Regions from separate parts of the Mus musculus genome. Here regions 1, 3, 4 and 5 are each reported to be linked to region 2. Evidence: microRNA targets listed by miRTarBase, many of them from high-throughput screens and not tested one by one. Region 2 holds a microRNA gene; each other region holds the end of a gene's coding sequence.

Region 1 (4,460 bases), not on the chromosome of region 2:
AGCAGCAGCGCCGGTGCCATGGCGAGCAGCGCGGAGCCTGAGGAGAAGGCGGGCTCAGGGTTCCCGCGACTGCTGGCCCTGCCCAGGTCCCGCCTCCTTGGGGGTGCTGGCGGCAAGGCGGGGACCGCGAGCGGCGCGTCACAGCGCGGAGTTGGAATCCCAGGCGTCGTCAGGGCAGCTGGTCTGCGGCTACCCTTGTGGGTCGAATCTCAGCGCTGTCAGTGTTCTCGAGGAAAGTGAAGACAGAGCCTCCCTTGCGTGGAAACATAAAGAACATCTTGTTTTTAAAGATAATCACTCCTTATTCTCCAGCCTCAATCCCTGATGTGCTGGGGTTACAAACGGCGCCACCCCGCCCAACATAGATTTTTGTATAGTGACCGTTTTAGAGCTGGGTGTGGTGGCTCGTGCCTGTAATTCCAGTACTCGGAAGGGTGAGGCAGGAGAATTTGAAGTTAGCTTGGACTGCATATGGAGACCGGTTCCGAAAAAGCCATTAAAAAAAAAAAGAGAGAGAGAGAGACAAGGTCGGGAGATGGTGGCATATGGATCTCCAAGTTCCAGGCCAGCCTGGCCTATATAGTCAGTTCTAGGATAGCCAAAGGCTACACAGAGAAACCCTGTCTCTAAAACCAAAGACCGAGTAATGAAAGGCTCAATCACCATAGCTATCCAAGTACAGGGTCCTCAGAAGACAAGAGCTGATTCTCTCAGATTACAGATAGAGCAAGGGCAGGGAGGCTGGTTGCTCCCAAGACGTCTGGACCAAGTTCTAATGCATTGTATAGCACTTTTCCTCCCCACCCTGATCTCTGCTTGGGAAATGTATTGAGTGGGCTCCATCTGTGAATGTTTTTGAAGAAGTTCTGTACTTACATTTATTTTGCCTTTATGTGTATTGATGTTTTGCTTGCAACTATGTGAGTGTCAGATCTTGGAGTAACAGTGGTGAGCTGCCATGTGGGTGCTGGTATTTGAACCCAGGTCCTCTGGAAGAGCCCAGTACCCTCAACCACTGAGCTCTCTCCAGCCCCCACTTGGACTGCTCAAAAAAAAAAAAATGTATATATATTTTTAATGGCAGAATCTAGCCAGGTGGTGGTACACGCCTTAATGGCAGAATCTTCATGTAGCGCAAGATGGCTTCGAACTTGCTGTTATGTAGCTGAGAATCATCTTGAGCAGATCCTCTTGCCTCTGCCTCCAAGTGCTGGGATTATGGCCTAGCATCACATCCTGGCTCCACTGATCTTCTAGACACTGTGAAGTGGTCCCAGAAGAGCTTATAGGTGGGAAACAAGCAGTTGACTATGTGTGGTTTCTCTTTAACCTGTTTCCTCCTTAAATCATAATGCAAGCTCTAGGGAGGCAAATGCCTAAGGCTCACTGTCCATCCAGCCCAGCCTAAGGGTGCCCCATGTCCCAGTGAGATTCCCTATCTCAAAGAAAAACAAAGTGGCCCGAGGAAAGACATCCAAGGCTGACTTCTGGCCTCCACAGGCATCAAATGAACAATGGTCTAGGACTACTGCTTAGCGGTGAAGCTTTTGAGCAGCATTTCAGGAAGCCTTAGATTCAACCCCCGGCACCACCAAAAAAGAAAAACCTTAAAGATCAAGCATATAACTGGGGTGTGAATGAGTTGTAAAGCAATTGCCTGTCATGAGTTGGGCCTCATTTGTGCCAACCACCAATAGTTCTCTAAGCTTATACATAATTCACTGCAGGAAAATATAAAGTAAGCAACTTTTTTATTGAAGTGAAATTCATAAAGCAAAAAAAACCCAACCCTTTTATACATTAGTACTTAATATTCTGCATTATGTACAATCACTTCCTCTTTCTGATTCCAAGTCTTTCAACTCCCCACAGGGGAACACTAGACCCCTTGAACAGCTTCTGTGTACTCATGGTCTGGCAAGCATCAATTTGCTCTTACCTTTGTGAATTCACACCACACTTTATATATTATTATGCAGGTGGAATCAAACCTGTCCCTTTTGTCTCGCCCTTGTGTTAGGGTGTCTTTGACCACCTTCAAATACTGTGTTTTCACTTCATGTCTGAACATTGCTTTCTGTGCAGACAGTATATATGCTCATCCTTGCTGAACAAAAATCTTCAGCTTTTCTATATTTGGAAAGAGGTGAGGGGCTGGGAATAAGGTTTAGTGGTAGAGGCTTTGCCTAGCATGCATAAAGGAAGGAAGCTCCAGGTTCAAGCCCCAGCCCAACCAAAAAGATAAAACATCAAGTGCTTTTCATTTTTGAATCTTTTGCAGTTTAGACTGAGCTGACCTTGGGGGCGGAAAAACAAAACAAAAACCCAAAAATCCACGATGAGCTTGAACTTCTGATCCTACTAGCCTTTACAGGGACTGCTGGGATTACATACCAAATGCATGTTTAAAAGTTTTCTTTGCAGCCGGGCGTGGTGGCACACGCCTTTAATCCCAGCACTCGGGAGGCAGAGGCAGGCAGATTTCTGAGTTCAAGGCCAGCCTGGTCTACAAAGTGAGTTCCAGGACAGCCAGGGCTATACAGAGAAACCCTGTCTCGAAGAAACAAAACCAAACAAAACAGAGTTTTTTTTTGCTTACAGAACAGTCTTGCTGGGTCATAGAGTGACCAGGCAGGCACAACGAGCACTGACTCACCTTACACATGTCCAGAGAAAATGGCAAAAAACAAACCAAAAAAAATTTTTTCCTTCTCTTTCGAGACAGGATTTACTCTGTTAACAGCCCTGACTGTTCTAGAACTCACTCTGTAGCCCAGGCTGGCCTTGAAATCAGAGCTCTGCCTGCGTCTGCCTCCCGAGTGCGCCACCACGCCCGACTCTCACGCTGTAGCCCAGGCTGAACTGGCACTGGTGAGCTTCCTACTTCAGCCTCCTAAGCACTGGGGCTACAGGCAATGCCCACGGCTAGCTCTGCTTACTTTGAAATAACTTTGCTACTGTTTACTGCAGAGGACAAGCCAAACACCAGCAGTATTCATGAGTTCTACTTTCTCCACATCCTGGAAAGTAGCCAACTTTAAAAAACAAATACAATTTACTCTAAATTAATAATAATAATAAATGAAGTGCAAGTTCAAATCCATTGTGTCTCCACACAGAAACCTGCCACCAAGAAGGCAGAGTGAGCACTGAGCTACTGGAGATGACCACAGCTAACTGCCAACACTGCAAAGCAGAGCAAGTACAGCAAAACTAAAGCCTTTCCTAGCCACACCCATGAGCTACCCTCATCTTCTCAACCAAGCACTCCTGGGAGCTGCTTCATGTTGAGTAGAACCCCGGGAAGTAAAGAGAAAATGCTGGCTTCTGGACAGGAGGTAGAGTCAGGGCACTGAGCCTGGAGCAGCTTCCTCGGAGCACAGCTGGGCAGATGGCAGGTGCTCGGTAGAGAGCCATACCCAGCTCAGGTGAGCCAACTAAAAAACTGGCTATCTTAGGAAAAAAGTTCCCTTTTTTCCCCAAAACATTTTAGGCCTTATTCACATTCCCCAAACAGTTACGATGATACAATATACCTTAGGCCTTTGTGAAACCCTGAGGTTTGTTGTTTGATTTGGTTTTTGAGATGGGGTCTCATTATGTACCTCTGGCTAGCCCAGAACTCAGAAAAATATGATTACTTCTGCCTCCCAAGTGCTGAGATTAAAGGTGTGAACCACCTTGCCCCGTCTTAATTGTGTATGTGTGTGTTCCTTTTTCCAAGTGTTTTCTAGGACTGTTCGATGGTCTGAGAAGGTAAAGGTACATATTTTTTTAGGTAGATGACATTTCCAAATTGGAGAGAACAAAGGCCTCTGGTGTGGCTTCCTGCTTCAGCACTCCAGTCAGGAGGAACTCAGGAGAGAGGAGGGGTAGCCCCAGGCGGGATGGAATAGCACAGCGTGGTAGGTCTTCAGTGCAAGTTATGATGACTCGGTGAAGCTGTGAAGAGACAGCAAAGACGGTTAGGAAGGAACTTTGAAACAGATGCAGGACCCATTAAGCTGTTTCAGAACTGAACCTACACACACACAACACACTCACGCAAACGTTCAACCTACCCTCCCCTGTCTTTGAAAAGGGTTTCATATAACTAACCCAAGCTGGCCTGCAATTTACTACATAGTTAAAGATAACCTTGAGCTTCTGATCCTCTTGTCCCCATTTCCAGAGTGCTGGGATTACAGGTAGGTATTATGTGTATTAGGTATCAAGCCCAGTTCTGTATATGCTAGGAAACAGGCTACCGACCAAGCTCCATTCCCAGCCCCCACTGCAGCTTTTATCATAATCTGCATGAGACACAGAATATAGTGGGATAAGATAAAAACGATGCAAACAAGGGAACACAGGAAAGTCCTGACTGAGGAATATTCTCAGGGACAGCTGGTCTCCTCCCTGCTGGAAGTCAATTCCTACAAAGGCAGGGGGTGGAGTGAGGGCGAGGGGCACTACACAAT
Region 2 (4,460 bases):
GACACCCTGAGACCTCAGATTAAAGGCATTACTGAGACTCAAGGTGTTATTATAATAATAAATGATTTAATAGCAGGGCGAGGCCGCTCGCTGAAGCAAGAGCTGGTGGGAAGGCAGAAAGGCTCAACGCTGAGAAGGGGGCTGCGGCTCGGCTTGAGACCCTGGTCCTGACACTGACTCTTGGAGGCTTGGAGGTAGGAAACTGATTTTTTATAAAATCTTGCTTGTTTCATCTGGCTCCAGCATGGCCTTATTGAATGCTTCTTACAAGTTCTGCATAGTAAGATTACAATCTTTTCAGGAAATGGGCATATAAATTAAAGCAATTAGAAACAACTCGAGGCTTTAGAATCAAGTTCAGAATGGACTAACAAGTGTCTAGAAGGAAGTGGAGAAAGAGCTGGCTGGCTAAATGCAGTTTTCCCTGTGGGTAGAAACTCCCAGCTCTACCACCCACTAGCAGTATGACCAAGCCTCAGTTTCTCCTGTAACCGCAATTGTTCTTGTAAAATGCTCAAAGGTTAACACAGTAAGCACTCCAGTGTCGCCCCCTCAGACTACGCCCCTTGATGCAATTGATCTTGGCCAGACTGCTCCATCCTTAGAGCCTCAGTATTCTTCCTGCAAAATGGGAGTAAGTGTATTCCTGCCTTAGTGATTATAAAGTGCAGTGCACTTGGTAGCACCATTCCCTAACCATTACTATCATCAACATTTTATTTTTCTTTTCTAGCTAAGGAGCCAGTCATACATTCAAAAGTTTTAAATCTCTGGATTGGGGCTGGGGGACGTCTTTGGAAGTTGGGAGTTTAAGATTAGTAGGAAAGGACTGGTAAGATTTAACAGATTAGAGAAGAAACCAGAAACCCAGAAAGTTCGAGGTGGGAAGGAGTGGGGCTTCTCCCTTTCCCATCCCACCCCGTAGTTTTATCTCTCTCCCCCGTTCCCGGGTAATCTTGTTTCTCACCAGTGCTGTCCTCTAGTCTGCCGCTCTTCAAGCCTAACCTGTGGACTAAGTAACGTGAGCCTTACTTTCTGGCCCTCCCGCAGTCAGGAGCAAGGACTACTTTAATCTTTACTCTTCCCAGGGATCCCGTTTCAAAGTCACCTGAAAGCCATTTCCTCTCTCTCTGCCCCGCCCCTCCCCGTAAATCACTAGGTGCTTGCTTTTCCCTGGGGCAGCTTTTTTTTTTTTTTTTTTTGAGGGCAGTGGTGGAGGAGGGGATTTTATAAGCTATTTAGGATTTTCACTTGTCTACACTTGGCGGTCTAAATGCTGAGTTACTGGGGTCGATTCTCCATTCCTGTTCCAAGAACCTGGTGCCATCGTTTAACGCAGGAGTCCTACTTCTTCTGTGATCTCACACTGGGCTCCCATCTCCTACCCCTCTTCATGGTGCGTACTGGGGACAGCATCTAATGCTACCTCCCCTAAGATCTTTACCAATGAAAGATTTATTCTTAGTGAGGTGTAGTAGCGCACACCTATAATTCTAGCACTCTGGGGGATCACTCAAGAGTTCTGGGCTAGCTTGGGCTACAAAGTGTGGGCCTGTTTCAAATCAAAAAATAAAATAAAAACAATAATTAGGGCGTGGTGGTGCACACCAGTAATCCCAGCACTCCGGAGATAGAGGGTGGAGAACCATTACTCTCAAGATTACCCTCTGCCAGTCTCAGATAATTGAAATCCTGCTTCAAAAACAAAAACCACACAAAAGATTTATGTTCTTGCTCAAAATCTAACTGGTTTGTATTCTATGTGCTTGTGCTAATCATCCCCCAATTTTCCCATCCCCTAATTTCCCGGTACATGCCTTTTGTTGATAGATCGCACTCAAAATGGGGTCCACTGACATTCAGGTTCCTCGATCAGTTTTTCTCATTAACAGTCCCACTGAGCGCCGCGCCCCGCCCCGCCCCAAGTTATGCGCTTCTTATCTCTTTCTCCTCAGAAGGTAAGATTTTACAACTGTAAAGAGCCACCGAAACCTAGTTTCGGCGAGGAATTCGAGACGTGCCTTTCTGACTCAGCGGTCGTGGTGACCTGCTCCAGTAGGACCAGGACGCCCTTGCCACCTAGACCTGCGCTTCTCCTGGGAAAGTCTAGGTGGCTGGGCTCCGAGTCCTCTCTGGTCGGAACCTGGTCTGGAGGCTTTCGTTGCCCTCTCGGCGTGATATCAGGGCGGTGGCACTAGAGTAACCCCACCACGTGCGCCTTGGGATCCCAGAGTTCCAGGTGGCAAGGGGAGGCGGCCAGCGGGACCCACACGGCGGGCCACGCGCGTTAATCATTAGCCACGGCGGCCGCTGTCTACAGCGGGAGCCACAGCTCGCTCGCACCGCCGCGAAGGTTCCCCCGGGCCCCCCAGAGCCGCCAATTGCTGGATCGCAGCCGCGAGCGCAGTCTCCACCCACTGGAAACATTCCTGGTCCGCCCCTCCCTGGCTCCCTCCCTCTCCCTCTCTCTCTCCCTCCCTCCCTCCCGCCGCAGCCTGGACTCCGGCCGCAACTTCCTGCCCGGTGCTGGGGAACCGTGCGCATTTCGGGGGTCCCCCGGCGTCTGGTGCTCGCAGCGAGCAGAGGCTGGGACCGCGGGGCGGCCAGCCGTGGGCGGGAGCGGCCGGCGGCCTCTGCCGCTTCCGAGAGCGACTTTCAAACTCGAGCCCGCTTCGCGGCGCCACCTGGGCAGCCCCGCGCGCCTGGCGCGTCGCGAGCCGGCGGGGCGGCCACCGCTTGGTGAGTGTCCCTAGGTTTGCCTTTCTCTCTTTGCCCATGCTCGATTGGCTGAGTGGCAGCGCTCTGCGGAGACCCCAGGCTAGCCCTCTGTGGGATGAGGACCTGGCCCCGAGCTGCCTCGGACACACTCGGAGGAGGTTGGGTCGCGGGAAGGTCGTAAGGGGAGTCACTTTTTATCCCCACCCCGGAAACCAAAGCAGCATAGGCTTTGCAGAGTTTGAAATCCGGGCAGCTCTCGACATTCCCGCCACCCCTTCCTTGTGTGCCCTGACGCCCGTGGGCTAGTGCTTGCCTGAGACTGTGGGCTCTTCTAGAAGGACTCGCCTCTGGTCCCGCCAGCCCAGGAGTGCGCAGGCACTCAGTCTGTTCTGGGTTGGTGCCACACCGTGCTTCTGGGAATCTCAGCTGCATGTCCAGGAGGATTAGAGTGGGTGTCAGAAGCCAAGTGTCCAGGAGCTGCAAATCTAGAGCCCCTTGATGCTGCCCCTAACAGCCTCTCCTTCACTCCCTTCAACTGGTTTGGTTATTCACACCCTTCTCTCAGACCTTTGATTTGGGAAGCTTCAAGCTTCAGTCGTTCAAGATGCTCCTTTGGTGGTAACGATTTATTCTGCGGCTACTTTTGAAAACAAAGGGGGGAAAAAAAAACCGGAACAAGCCGCATGATGGTTGGAGGGTGGAGAAAGCGGCGCTGCGAGGTGGTGCTAAAAGTTGGGTGAGAGTATATCGTCTAGAGTCGCTAAACTCTTGGTAGATTAAGGGCTGTTAAGATTGTTAACCCTCCCAGCAACCGATCAGTACTAGAGCACCTTACAGAGAACCCTAGTCTTAGGGTTCCCAGTCTTCCAAACTGTGCTTGTTCAAGAGTGCATTCCAGTCACAATGAACCCTTCAGAAATAATTAGTGTGGAGTAAAATGACAGCCTGAGAGGGAGAGGCGATGTTCCCTGCTGTGCCTGGCCTTCCCCAGTCCCTCTGCTAAACTGGAATCTTGTGTTATAGATGCTCAGCATAAAACCTAGGGACTAAATACCAGAAAGCCAACTGTGGCGCTGCTGTTATTCCTTATGGTTCTGGGCTCACTGGATGGCTCACAGACCCCATCTCTCATGTAGACAGACTACTAAATGCCTGCTTGCCTCTGCTGGCCGCACTCTCTGGACTTTCCCGCTGGTGCTGGAAATCCGCTTTCACCCCTTCACTTAGTCTGGGCTGATAAGGGTGGTAGTCTGTTTTAGAGTGGCCTTGGGGCTTTTCTATTGACTTTTTATCAGAGGTGGCCCGACTAGGAGAGTGGGAAGACCACTGGGCTGAGAGTCCGACAGGATTTTTGCTAGAGGTTTAATGCTGGCTGTATTGCGTCACATCAGAGACTGATCGGGTCTGAGGCTTTTTTTCTTACATGATTGGCCTGAAGCCAGATCTCACCCTCTCCTCACTCACTTATCTTTTCTGACTCAGTTTCCATACAGAGCAGCCTTTTTTCTTTATAGGGGATGTGGTAACAATAAAGGGGAGAAGGGTGTATGAGAAGTAGTCCATAAACTCCTATCAAAAAAAAAAAATAGCTGTGTAGTGGCTACAAGGAGCCCTTACATGTTTGCTGGTTATACCCCATGTGTGACACAGGAGATGGTGGACACCAGGAGCCAATTGTGGCAGTTTACACTCTCTCTGGCTTGTAATATCATAGTCCCAGAGTAAATATTGACTTTACCAAA
Region 3 (4,460 bases), not on the chromosome of region 2:
AGCACTCTGGAGGTGGAGGCAAGGAGATCAGAAATTCAGAGTTATCGTCAGCTACACAGAGAGTTGAAGTTGAGCCTGTGTAACACGCAGTCTCAAAATGCCAGAATCAGTGAGACCAAACAAAATTATACATGTGATTTCTTGGCTGGCTCCTTGCAGTCCCATGTTACCATCCATATTATAGCCTCTGTGTGTCCATATACTTGTTGACTGATGACTCCTTAGCACTTAATTTACATATGTGTGTGTATGTATGTATGTATGTATGTATGTATGTATGGGTGTGCACAAGCCATGACATGCAGAGGTCAGAGGACAATAGTGGGAATGGTTCCTCTCCTGAGGGTCCCCTTGGTGGCAGCGGGAGTCTTCACCCACTAAGCTGTTTCTCTGGTTCTGACTGCTAATCTCGATGTCCATTTCTGTTTGCCATAGGCCACAGTCACCAGCTGTTTCATGTGTGCGTCATCCTGGCCACACACTTGCAGATGGAAGCCATCCTTCTGGACAAGACCCTGAGGAGGGAGTGGCTCCTGGCCACCTCCAGACCCTTCTCTTTCCCTCAGATAGCAGCGGCCATGCTTCTGTGCATCATCTTCAGCCTCAGCAACATTATTTATTTCTCAGCTGCTCTGTATCGGATCCCTGAGCCTGAATTACATGAAAAGGAAACATGACTTCAGAATGTGCCAGGCTTTGGTGTTAGCAGTTGGTGTGGTGCTGGCTTACAGTGGCCAAAAGCATTCGTAGCAACTGATGTCTTGACATTTTTTTAATGGGTTCATATCGGAAAAAACAAAACAAAAAGGATTTAATTGGGCAGAGTTCTCTGCACACACACAGATTCTGTATGTGTTCTGTAAAAGGTAGAATTTGAGCATAAGTCCTGGATAAGGATAAATATTAAGTTTAAAACTTATTTAAAATGGGGTGTTTAGGGCCTGGAGGTGTAGCTCAGTTGGTAAGTAGTTGCCTAGAATATTCAGAGCCCTGTTTTTGTTTTGTTCTTTATTTTGGGTTGTTGTTTGTTTGAGGCAGGGTCCCACTATGTAGCTCAGGATGTCCTGAAATTTACTATGTAGACCAGGCTGGCTTTGAACTCACAGAGCTCTGCCTGCCTCTGACTCCTGAGCGCTGGATTAAAGGTGTGTTGCCAAGACACTGAAGCTCTGGTTTTGATCCTCAGCACAGCAGAACTTGGTCCTGTGGCTCATGTCTATAATTCCAGCACCAGGGAAGCAGAATCAGAGGGTCAGAAGTTTAAACCATCCTCGGATGCATGAGATTGTATCTCTAAAAACATAGTTCTCAATTCTATTCCAACAGTTATATTAAGCATACTGCCCTGCCTCTCTAGTTTTTGTATTGATGTTTAAAAACAGCAGAGGCTACATTTGATGAACTTTGTATAGCTAAGCTTTTTCCCCCAGATGAGTGAGATGGTTCAATGAGTTAAGAAGCTTGCTGCCAAGGCTGACAACAGGAGTTCGATCCCCAGGACCTGCTACAAAGTATTCTACAGTATCGATAAGGTGTGATGGCCTCTGGAGCTCATTGATGCCATCCCAGCTGTTAGGGCTCCCTGTCCCTTTTTCAAGCAATGGAAGAGCTGTCTTTGGAGACATCCCATGCCTGACATTGGGTTGGCATGCCAAGATGCTGCCAGACTTAGTATTTATGCAGAGGGTGTTGACCTCACCAGTGGGACAGTCAAATGTCCTGTCTTCAACCTTTCCTGTGACACAGAAACACACAGGTGGGTAAGCTTGTGACATGCATTTCCTGGGGTAAACTAGGGCTTCTGCTTTCCTACACCAAATGTAGGAAGTGTGGGAAATGTAGACAGCAGCACTTCCCCAGAAGCCCAGCACAGGAGGGAGGAGGCAGATGCTGAAGACATTTGTGCTGTCTTTCATTTACAACTTGATCAAAGCTCCAGCAACTTGCCATCTACATGTGTGTCCCTGTTTTCTCTCCAGGATCTTCTACTATTGATATTTTTTTAACTGGTTAAATGAAAATGAAGTCCCATGGGTTAGACCCTAGACTAAAAAGTAAATAAAGCCAGGAAGCTTGAAGGCAAGGCTCTCGGACGTGCACACTGATTTTAAAATGCCAGCGTCCTGTGCGCAGACGAAGCGTGGTCAGCCGGCCTCCTGCCTGCCGGCCTCCTGACTGCTGGGCCAGCCTCAGACTCGGAATCTGTGCCTTCCCTACCATGCATGGTGGATGCCAATTTGCCTTCTGAATGATAAGCCCAACTAAATCCCTGCTTAAAAAAATTAAACAATAAAAAGAAATCACAAAACAGAACATCAAGAACAGCAAAAACCCAAAAGCCAACTCTGCTAAGGCCATAGCCTTGTGCGACAATCCCTTCAGTCTTCCACAGATAATACTTGTGCAGGACTTCTATCCAGAGCTGCCTGTCCACCCTTGGACCAACGTTACCTTGTTATTGATGCTTATAACCAAATACTGCTGTGTTCTTATACAACATGGCATCTTCCTCATTTTGCCTTAAAAATATCACCTTATAGAGTGGAGATGGCAAGATGTGCAAGCATCAAGGTGAGTTTAGCCCCCACGTACAACACGGAAACCTAGGTGTGGCTGCATATACCTGTAACCACAGCATTGGGAACAAAGATAGGCAGGTGCTGGTAGCTCACTGGCCAGGCATCCATACAGAGCAGCTTAGTGAGAGGTCCTGTTTCAGCAAGGTGGGGAAGCAATGGAGTAGACATTCTGACATCAGCCTCTAGTCCTAAGCGCATAAGCACGGGTAAGTGTGTCCAGGCACACTCACCCTTGCCTAGACTCTGTATGTGCACTTCACTTACCAGCACGAGTGCAGCTATCACAGATCTGTTCTGGATTAATTTGTTGTCTTTGGAGAAACTCTGTTATTTAGGTTCATGATACCAAACACGCCAATCCCTTGTTTGTTGCATTTGTAATTAAAGTTCAGCGTTTTATAGTGTTTTCAGGGAGTTCAGGAATGCTGATACAAAACAAAATTTAACAGAGGCTCACCAGCCTCTGATCTGTACCTGGTAATGACTTTGGGGGGCTGTCCATCACAATGCTGGATATTCTTTGTTGACTCTGGAATATCCTCTTGTCCTATAACACACCCTCCAGGATTAAGCAGCTCAGCTATGTCAATGACCTTGCCAGCAGCCCATAGCCTCACCCTCTAATGACAAGGACCAATTATATTTTGGATGTGAGTGGTCAAGAAATAAGGTTTCATTATTTTAGTATCAGTTATCTTCCCCTGCGGAAGGATTTCATTATTTTAGTATCAGTTATCTTCCCCTGGGGAAGGGAGAGTGAGTGATACAATTATATAGGCTGGTAAATTTCTGGTACATTAATTGCAAACTGCATAACAAATTTTGTTCTTTAGCAATAATCTGACACTCTCAGTGGCATCCCTATCTACTGCACATTTCCCACAGCCCCCGTTTTAGTGTGTGTGTGGGGTGGGGGGGGAAGGTATAAAGTTGGGCTGTGCTTGTTTGTGGCTCAGATGGTAGAGTTTTGGCCTGGCATGCATGAAGCCCTTGGCTTTGATACTAAGCACTGCATAAGCTGGGCATGGTATACATGCCTGTGATCCCAGCATTTGGGGGATGGGGACAGGAGGATCCGGACAGATTCAGCTTCGCAGTGAGTCCAAGGCCAGTCTGGTAGTTAGATAGTTAACAGTGATCACAGGCTGGGCGTGGTGGTGCATGCCTTTAATCCCAGCACTCGGGAGGCAGAGGCAGGCCGATTTCTGAGTTCGAGGCCAGCCTGGTCTACAAAGTGAGTTCCAGGACAGCCAGGGCTATACAGAGAAACCCTGTCTCGAAAACCAAAAAAAAAAAAAAAAAAAAACCAAACAAAAACCAGTGATCACTCAAGTTCAGTGGCCCTCAACTGGTGGGTCACAACCCTGTTGCAGGTCAAATGACCCTTTTACAGGGGTTCCCCAAGACCACTGGAAAAACAATACCAAAAACAATAGGTGCAGGGCTGACACTCTGGAAAAGAGATGAGGGAATCCTGCAAGGCCTGCCTTTGCGGGCCTACTGCTGGCTGGGCAGATAAGTAGGGAAAAAAAAAAAATCTCTGCCAAGGAAACAGACCTAGGGAGCTGGGAGAAAAGGTAGCCCAGAGGATTGCATGGCCAGTCTGATAAGCCGACAGCTCTGTGGAGGCTTCAAAGGGCCACAGGAGCCAGACTGGCTGGTGACTAGTGGGCAGACACTTTGTGCCTTGGGGCCAGCAGAGAAGGAGAGGAGTCAGGCCAGTCCTTCCAGGATTGTCCAACGCACTGTGGGAGACAATGACAGCAACCGATTGTTCTCTGGAGAGAGTGCCCCAGGGCTTTCCTGAGCTGCTCTGTGAGCTATGTGGAGTTAGGTAATCAAGTACCCCGGGCAAGGCAGTAGCTGCGGCTATCTTGTCGA
Region 4 (4,460 bases), not on the chromosome of region 2:
CTACAAGGTTCCAGGCCAGCTAAGGCTACTTAGTGAGACCCTGTCTCAAAAAGACAAACAAAAGAAAACAAATAAGTCTACACGTACATATTCAGCTATTACAGGCAGTGCAATTCTCCCTAAACGCACACGGGGAAGAGTTTAAATAAGCAACATAAGCCTTGTAATACTAGCATTAATGGCTGTTGGCGGGTATTCTGGGCTAATAGTGGCTGTTTGTCATTAATTTCTTAGTAACGATGTGTTTTCCATTGGCTTTCCGCACTATTCAACACCTCAGGGTTTCTTGCGTATTTATGTGTACATCTGTGCAGGCAGGCACGTGATTAGAGGTCAAAGGTCAACCTCAGACATCATCCCTCAAGCACCATCACTGTGGTTTGAGGCAGGATCTTTCTCATGGGTCTGGGGCTCAGCCTGTCTCCACCTTCCCAGCGCTGGGAATGGGCACTGCCATACCTGGCTTTTTAAATGGGTTCTAGGGATGACACTCAAGCCCTCAGGGCCACACAGCATGCAATATACCAAGGCACCAAGACAGCCTTGACTTCTGGAATCATTTTTCTCCCTCTAACAAAGCTTGTCTAGCAATGGGTGTGTGTGAATGTGGGCTTTACCGCTAAGGGCTGAAATCAAGACATACAGAAGGAAGTGAAAGGGTAGAGCAACTACTGTGAGTGGAAGGCCAGCCTGGGCTACATGTCACCTGCCTCCCTCCACAAACAGGCTCCGTGCTAGCTCAGGTCTCTTAAGTATCTTTCAAAAGGAATGTCTGGACTAAGCATGCCTTTTTATAACAAGGTTCTTACCATGGCCCTAAGGTCAGGTAAGGACTCCCCCATCCCCTGGTAAGTAGGATCAATATTTTAAGACCTGTAGCCACTCACTTATATTATTCTTTTGGTCCTATCTAGCATCCTGCATCTGCTATCTATATAATTTATAACATACCTCTTCCTTCTCTTTAAGCCCCCTTCTCCCCACAGGCATTGGAATTTCCATGTTGCTCATTAAGTTCCATTAGCATAACCGTTAGTTTAAAAGAAAATTTTTTTATCAATCAGTATTCTTAATTTCATCCATCAGGCCAGACAGCAATCTTTCCAAGTTAACTAAGTCTTTGGTCTGGCACATTACTATGCAATTGATAATTTAGGTTACAATAGAAACTTGTTATGTTTTAGTCATGGTCCTGAATAACCCAGTCCATTAAAGGATAGGGAAATCACATCACATCAAGGGTAGAGCTCTGCTAGGCCCTGCAAAGCTGCTTGTCACACACTTTACCAGGCTATAGGGCTGAGAGGGGAGAGACTGCCTTGCACGTCTTCTATGGGAGAACAGCACTGTAAAAGTGACAGATTCCATACAGGAAATTACGAATAATTAATAAATTATTCCTGCGTGACATGTAGAGGTGCATATGTGTAGTTCTGAGTTTGACCTCTGAACCCCACAAGATGGCAGGGGAGAACCAATCCTGAGAGCTGTCCTCTGAACTCCACACCCTTGCTGGTACACACAACAATTTTTTTAAATGAAAACAATGAAAATATGAAATATAGAAATGTTTTAAATTGTATTAATAAACCACTTTATTAAAGCAGCATAATTCCTCTGTGCATTGTAAATATACAAAGATTAAGTATAGCTCTCATTCCTCAACAAAGAAATGTCTCTTTGCCACAGAAATCATTACAGAAAACCACAGAGATCAAGATGAAGGGAACAAGCGAGCATGAGATGCCCGGCCCATCATCTGTCTACAGTACATCCTGCATCAAGGCTCAGGGCTGTAGCATCTCAGAAGGGGCGGAAAGACTATAAGAGCCAGAGAATGGGATGTCTGCTGTAAGACTGGCTCCTAGAAATGCCAAACTATTTTTTAAATTATAATAATGAGCCAAGCAGACCAGAACTCATCTTTAATGCCTGCAACTAGGAGGGCAGCCGGAGCTACACAGTGAGACCCTGGGTTAAAAAGTCTTCCTTCTCACTGATTAGTCTTTGAGAAGAGTTAACTGGGGAGCATGATACCCCGAGGGAAGCATTACTGAAGTAACTGGCTGTCCACCTTGCAGTGGCTGAGGAAGTCAGGAAGTCAGCTCCTACCTTCTCTGCTTAAGGACTGTCCAACCCAGGCTGGGCGGTGGTGGCGCACATCTTTAATCTCAGCACTTGGGAGGCAGAGGCAGGCGGATTTCTGAGTTCGAGGCCAGCCTGGTCTACAGAGTGAGTTCCAGGACAGCCAGGGCTACAGAGAAAAACCCTGTCTCAAAAAAAAACAACAAAAGGACTGTCCAGCTCAGCCCGCAGGCAGGCCAGCAGGCTCTAGGCACAGAACACAGCCTCAGAAGCCCTGGGGTAAATACAAGCAGGCCCAGGGACACAGGTAGGGCACAGACAGCAAGTTACATGGCTGTGCCTTCATAGTGAAGAACTTTAGTCTCAGCTTCTCAACAGGATGCTTTTTAACTCATAAACCTGTGGTAATGAGTGAACAAAGCCACAAGAACAAAGGGAAACAGGATCGTTTGTGACATAGGCATTAACAGGTTTGAGAATAGCAGTTAGTCTGAACTCACATGTGGGCCTTTCCCTGGGTCAGAAGATGTAAAGGGATTTTCTAAAGCCTTCTTCCTACAGGTACTCTGTGCCGGCTAGTTTTATGTCAGCTTGACACAAACTAGAGTCACCAGAGAGGAGGGAGCTTCAGTTGAGAAGATGTCTCCATAAGATCAGGCAGTAGGCATTATGATCAATCGTGGAGCAAACCAGGAAGCAGCACCCTCCATGGACTTTGTATTGACACCTGCCTCAAAGTTCCTGCCCTTCCTAAGTTCCTGTCCTGACTTCCTTCAAATATGGACTACAATATACAAGAGAAGTGTAAACCTTATAACAAACCCTTTCCTCTCCAACAGTCTTTTGCTCACAGTGCTTGGTCATGACAACAGTAATCTTCACTAGGACACCTCCTGAGCAGTGCCAAGTCTCCCTCAGCGCACAGCTGGAAATAACAGCCTAGATGTTCCAAGGCATCTAGTATAACTCTTCAGATCTATCAATTAGTGAGATGAACATTCCAAAATGAACTTCCGAATTCGAAAGTGAGTACATCATTTCCCTGTGTGTGAAAAATTACACAGAACCCCAAATCATAGACATTCATCTTCAAGTGCAACTTATCAGAATTCTCAGCTCCAAGGAGCAACATTGTTTACCTGGCTACCTCAGAGGCAGAAATGTGATGAAGACTTGCCTGAACTATAGGACATCCTTGGGACAAGGGGAGCAGGTAGAAAGAAGAAAAATGGGCGAGAGGAAGGAGGAAGACTCGAACATTCTAGTCTCATCTATTTACCTAGCTATCTGTTTCCTGAGTAGCTCTTTGAAGCAGGACCTCATTATGTAGCTCTGGCTATCCTGGAATTCACTATCTAGATCAGACAAGCTTTGAGCTCACGGAGAGCCACCTGTCAGCACACCCAGCTCATTCCAGTTTCCTGAGGGAGGCAGATGAGCTGGTGGCCCTGTGTGTCTTCCTTTGATTAGAGTAACAGCTCTGTGCACTCTCTCCAGCCACAGCCTCTAGGAGCCAAGGGACCAGCGGTGAACCCTTCCTAAAGTATGCAGAAAGTGACCTAGTCTGAAATGTGTATCATGGTTTGAGCTTCAAGACAAGCTCGGTGGAGTTTAGCATGTTCTGACTGACCTTCCACACCTTGAAGGGGACAGAACAGCTTCGAGTTTTTCTGTACTATTTAATTTCCCCAGAATTACAAACTTTAGAATCAAACCACTTTAGCCTATAAAGGACTTTTAAAGACTTGCCTTAGTGCACCTAAAAGCCTTTTTGATGATAGAGATCAACAAAACTCCACCCCACTTTCTCTGACCATAAAACTGTGTTTTTTTAAACTGTTACTTTTTAAATGACGTGAAACTAATGAGAACCGGCTGCTCTTGGCCTCGTCGTCCCTGGAGAAGATGACCCTGTGCTTCACGACCCTCTGCCAGGCCTTGCAGAGATAGGCTCTGTAGCCCATGTCTCCATCGCATGGGTGCTTGGAGGAAGAAGGCCCGTCTGCAGAGTCTGAGCCTTTCTGCATTAGACTCTGCGTTGTCGCAAAAAGCAGCAAGCGGTACTCAGTGACAAGCCGCTCTAGGAGCTGAGAGCACTTCTGCAGCGTTGACTCCTGCAGGGCCACACTCTCTCCTCCACTGACTCGGTCTATCCAGTAAAAAGACGACAGGCTGTCCACAATGAGAAGGCAGAGAGAGGGGCGACTGCAGAGCAGGGCTTCCAGGGAGTGCAGCGTGAGCAGTAACTGCATGCTGCTGCTGCAGTACGCCAGGAACAACCTGGCTAGGCACAGCTTCATGGCTTCCTCGGAGCTTTGCGAGAGTCTGTGTTCAAGAACTGTCACGAGCCGTAGCATGTCAAAGTGGTAATCTGT
Region 5 (4,460 bases), not on the chromosome of region 2:
CTAGATTGGTTCACAAGAACAGCACCAGGCCCGTCCACACTTCATGAGCCGTGTTCTTAACCCAAGTCCTCCCTCCAGCCCCCATATTCACAATTTTAAGGTACCAATATTTATTTTTATAGAAATAGAAAATTTTTAAAAAGGCCAAGGAGTAGGCAGCACATAAACATTGCCATTCAATGTACGGAAAATGTCTAACACCCTAAAAGGCTTACTGCTCAGCAGCAAGCCCTAATAAGGCTAACAGGTTATTTTTGCCTGTTTAATTCACATGAAGAGAACTGTACAGTGTCCTCTTTTGGGTCTAGCTCCTTCAGTTGAGTATATGAAGTTACTCATTGCTATATACATTAGCAATTATTTCCATTGTGTGGATGCACCGCAGTCTGATTTCTGGTTGATAGATCTTTCTAATATTTGTGGTTTGGGGTTACTATAAACACAACTGCTTTAAGCATTCAAATACAAATCTGTGGAGTCTCCTGGTTTTTTTTCCCCCTTGGGCAGCAAGACGACTGAACTGTGTTATGGACATGCCTAATTTATAAGCAGCAGCTGTGCCATTTTCAGTCCTTTTGGGGGTTCCAGTTGTTCACCACCTACACTAGCACTTGATATTGCTATACTGCCCCTCTGTGGGCCATTTCAGTAGGTATGCAGTGGTGTCTCAATGCTGATGGTCTCAGGTACTTTTTGTGTATGTGTCCATTGGTGTTATCTATTAGTGTGATTCTGATAAGGTTCAAATATAAAATCTTAAGAAATAGCCGGGCAGTGGTGGCGCACGCCTTTAATCCCAGCATTCATGAGGCAGAGGCAGAGATAGGTGGATTTCTGAGTTCGAGGCCAGCCTGGTCTACAAAGTAAGTTCCAGGACAGCAGGGCTACACAGACAAACCCTGTCTTGTCTTGAAAAACCAAAAAAAAAAAAAAAAAAAAAAGAAAAAATTGAAAATATACATAAAGCTCTTCTAATATTTAACATATTACACACTATTTTTATATGTATGTGGATATTTAACTGCATCATTTGAAATAAGTACCAAATATCATCTCTCACATAAATACTAAAAATAAGGTTTTTTTTAATGTAGTGCAAGTTTATCATTATATAAGTTAACAAGTTTTTTCCAGTCTATATAATCTCTCAGTTTCTCTATTTTTTCTTACTTTTTTCCTCCAAAGGGCAGGGTTTTTCTATTGTAGCCCAAGTTGGCCTCAGAATCATGGAAATTCTCCTGACTTTCATGTGTCTAGATAACAGGCATGAAACACCATGGCCAGCTAGTCAAAAATCTCTTTTAGATCTAATTAGACTACAAACACAGTTATTGGTTAACCTAAATCTTTGACTTTTTGAAGAAAAATTAGCCAGTTGTTTTGTAAAGTAACATACATTTAGAACTTACCTTATTTTCTATAAACTGGAATTTGGACTTCGATTCACTATAGGCCTATTTTTGAAATGGGTCCTTTATGTGATTTCAAAAACCACACTTTTACAAGTGTGCTTTGTATAAGGCTTACAAGCTGCTGAGGCTGGTGTTGAACTCCAAATCCACTCTTAGCTTCCGAACTACCCTCAATTGTGGGACCAGAGCACTCACCATGCCTTGCTCAGCAGCAAAAACTTTTGACAATATAATTTTCATAATGCTAGGAACTGAAACTGAGACATCAAACAGGAAATGGAAGTGCTTCAATCCAGCCCTCAAGTCATTTATACTGCACTTTCTTTGGGGGAAAATTCAGGAACCTAAAACACATATAACTCACACCCCAATTTTGCTAATTGATTTTTTTTCATGTTTTTCTCAGTTCAAAAGAAAAAGTTAAAGTAAAAAAGACTGTAACAATGGTGCTTTGGAAATAGGGCAACACCACGTACAGTTATCCTTCATAGATGTTGGCTTTGTCCCAGGCATTCCTGACAGTCTTTTATAAATGTGTTCACTTGGTAAACTGGAAACAGGAGTGCCCCTACCTGACCTTAAACTTGCCAAGCACATGCCTCAGCCTCACAAATGCATCAGCACTGAGATAATGGGCATAATTTATCATGCTTTTGTTCCTTTCTGCTGTTAAAAAAAAAGTTTAAACTACACCCGCTGGTCTGTGCCTATGTTCCCAATATTTAGAAGGCTGAGACAAAAAGTTTGCAATTCAAGGCAAGCCAAGGATACATGAACAAGATCTCATCTCTAAAACTCAAGAATAATCACACAAATGGCCATTATTTTTCTGCTCTTTCACATTCACAAACGGTCAAATACCTGTCATTAAATTTTGGGAACTGCCCTCCACCACCAACCACCCCGAAATAGTATTTTAACTGGGTTTCATTGTACACATCTATAATCTTGAGCAGTGAGGCAAAGGCTCAATCAAAGGTCAGGAGTTCAAAGTCATACCCTGTTAACACAGTGAATTCTAGGTCAGCTTGCACTACATGAGATCTTACCCTTCAAAAAGTGATCTTAATATATACTAACTTTACTAGTTAATATATTATTTCCCCTATATTCTAGAAGAACAAAAGGTGTTTGTTAACTACTAGGTAGTCAGTAGGTAATTAGATCTTTAATGCAGAAACTGCTGTTTCAGTATGTTGGTTACATATGGTTTTTATTCAGGCTTGTCAATTAAGAAATACAAACCAAGCAACTCTTAGTTGCTTCTACAGGTTCACTCTTTCCTTACAGAAGCTGCTCACTACAGCTCTGAAGTATAGTATAGGCAGCAAGAGATTTGGGTGGAGCAACAATTCATCTGAAATCCAGAGTTAAATATTTACTTCCTTTGGTGCCTTATACAGAAAGGCACTGTTAAGATGTTACAAAATAGAAAATAACCACAGCAAATAGTTCTAGTGGCAACTTACTATCAACAAGTTACAGTGGTGGTGATGATTCTTTTCATTTTTTTTACAATTATAGTCTTTAAACTCTACACACACACACACACACACACACACACACACACACACACACAAGTGCTATTATGAAATAGTCCCTGCCCCCCCACCCCCCTCAATATACTGAACATAGCAGTTTCTTAGAACAAAAAAAAAAAAAAAAAATCAAGGCAAGTCTGATTTCAAATTTTCAATATAAAAGCAAAAGTATGTAATGCAACAGCTGTTCAACTTCCAACTCTATAGGCCCCTAACAAAACAGCCCCGTGTTTAAATGTCTCCAGCACACAATCCAGTAGAAATGCTCAACTGTAATCAACTAATAACCAACGTGAACAGAACCTTAGAAAAGAAGTTACAATACTTCCCTTCACCCTCTCCTCTTATAGTTGGAGGAACAGGTATCAGGAGATATAAAAGTCAAAGGAAGAAGAATTATAATGGAAAAAAAAAATCCTAAAGCTGCTGCTGTTTGGAATAGAAAAGAAGACAATATTTTACAAATGTTCAAAAACTGCAAGACATTAACACAATTCATTCACTATCACTCCTAACTTGAAAGAATAGAGAACAGTATCTCATCATATAAACTGTTATGTTCAGGTTCACAAAAAACTATGGATGTAGTTTTAGGCTTTATGAAGGAAAACAGGTTCAGTTCAAATCATTGGATACTATACATCTAGTCTGACTGGATCGGTGTCTAGAACTGTCACCCTTTACAACTATAAACAATAGCATGTAACTCCATGGGAAGCTTAAGGATTGAAGATATGTACACAGCTAGTTAGATCTCCCCTGCTTCACGCTCTTCAGAGCTCCTCCTGTCTTCTGATCTGCCATTAGCACTCTCATAGGACCGCTTCTTATCTTTTCGATCTCGGTCACGAGGTGATCTGTCTCTTGAACTCCTGTCTCTGTCACGTGATGCTAAGTCTTGATCTCTGAATCTTTCTTTTGAGGATCTGAAAAATATTAATTTGAGGAGCAAAATATGTTGGGACACCCAAAATCCAATGAAAGAATAGGATCAATATTTTCTGATAGCTGAAGAAATAGGTAAGAATATATCTGAGAAGAGAGTTTCTTATAGAATAGAGTCCTACTATACAGCTGAAAAGGGCACCAAAACAAAATTGGGAAGAACAAATAGCTATACAGTTAAGGGCAAAAGAGCCTAAACTAAACAATGTATTCTTAGTATTTCAGAGATAAAGTTTCTTCAACTAATAAAAAGGCATTTAGTATAAAAACAATATATAAGTAATTGCTTTTATAAGTGAAAAGTATCAAGATTCCAAATTGGATGGAAACCAATGAATTTGTACAGCAGTCATCTCTTGTGCTAAATAAGGATTTGAAGTGTTGTAAATTACAAGATCAGGGTGTATGAGTTATTCTTTTCTATCAACTTTAAAAATGACAGAAATGCAAAACCATCCATAGCTTTCTGGTTTTATACAAACAGGCTTCGGCCACATTTGTCCTATGGGCAGTATGTTGCAAACTAGGTAAGAGAACTACTTAATATGGCTTTAAATAACCA

Evidence for each region. Region 2 holds the annotated microRNA mmu-miR-5135 (AGGUCUAGGUGGCAAGGGCGUCCU, at 2,064-2,087, opposite strand). A microRNA usually pairs through its seed, bases 2 to 8, with sites in the 3' UTR of a target mRNA and lowers its output. Matches are read on the target gene's strand: a 7mer-m8 pairs with bases 2 to 8, a 7mer-A1 pairs with bases 2 to 7 and ends in A, and an 8mer does both.
Region 1: the mRNA of Mdc1 is a reported target of mmu-miR-5135. Seed matches in the 3' UTR shown: 7mer-A1 at 2,503-2,509.
Region 3: miRTarBase lists Paqr5 as a target of mmu-miR-5135. Seed matches in the 3' UTR shown: 7mer-A1 at 1,080-1,086.
Region 4: miRTarBase lists Xrcc2 as a target of mmu-miR-5135. Seed matches in the 3' UTR shown: 7mer-A1 at 2,222-2,228.
Region 5: the mRNA of Luc7l2 is a reported target of mmu-miR-5135. The part of its 3' UTR that is shown has no 7-base or 8-base seed match.

The regions. Positions count from the first base shown.
Region 1 is chr17:35,856,945-35,861,404 of GRCm38, reverse strand. It overlaps Mdc1 (mediator of DNA damage checkpoint 1), which reads right to left. Exons shown (of 16, transcript NM_001010833.2): 16 at 1,735-3,942. The coding sequence ends at 3,775. It overlaps Nrm (nurim (nuclear envelope membrane protein)), which reads right to left and starts at 87. Exons shown (of 4, transcript NM_134122.2): 1 at 1-87. The coding sequence starts at 20.
Region 2 is chr12:76,531,080-76,535,539 of GRCm38, forward strand. Mir5135 (microRNA 5135) reads right to left here and starts at 2,133; the gene lies at 2,055-2,133. It overlaps Plekhg3 (pleckstrin homology domain containing, family G (with RhoGef domain) member 3), which reads left to right and starts at 2,481. Exons shown (of 19, transcript NM_153804.4): 1 at 2,481-2,739.
Region 3 is chr9:61,952,263-61,956,722 of GRCm38, reverse strand. It overlaps Paqr5 (progestin and adipoQ receptor family member V), which reads left to right. Exons shown (of 8, transcript NM_028748.2): 8 at 436-2,985. The coding sequence ends at 677. Among named protein-coding and RNA genes, the nearest start is that of Kif23, 7.7 kb to the right of the region's middle.
Region 4 is chr5:25,688,244-25,692,703 of GRCm38, forward strand. Xrcc2 (X-ray repair complementing defective repair in Chinese hamster cells 2) reads right to left here. Exons shown (of 3, transcript NM_020570.2): 3 at 1,571-4,460. The coding sequence ends at 3,870. Among named protein-coding and RNA genes, the nearest start is that of Xrcc2, 15 kb to the right of the region's middle.
Region 5 is chr6:38,607,572-38,612,031 of GRCm38, reverse strand. Luc7l2 (LUC7-like 2 (S. cerevisiae)) reads right to left here. Exons shown (of 10, transcript NM_138680.3): 10 at 2,562-3,879. The coding sequence ends at 3,702. Among named protein-coding and RNA genes, the nearest start is that of Klrg2, 27 kb to the left of the region's middle.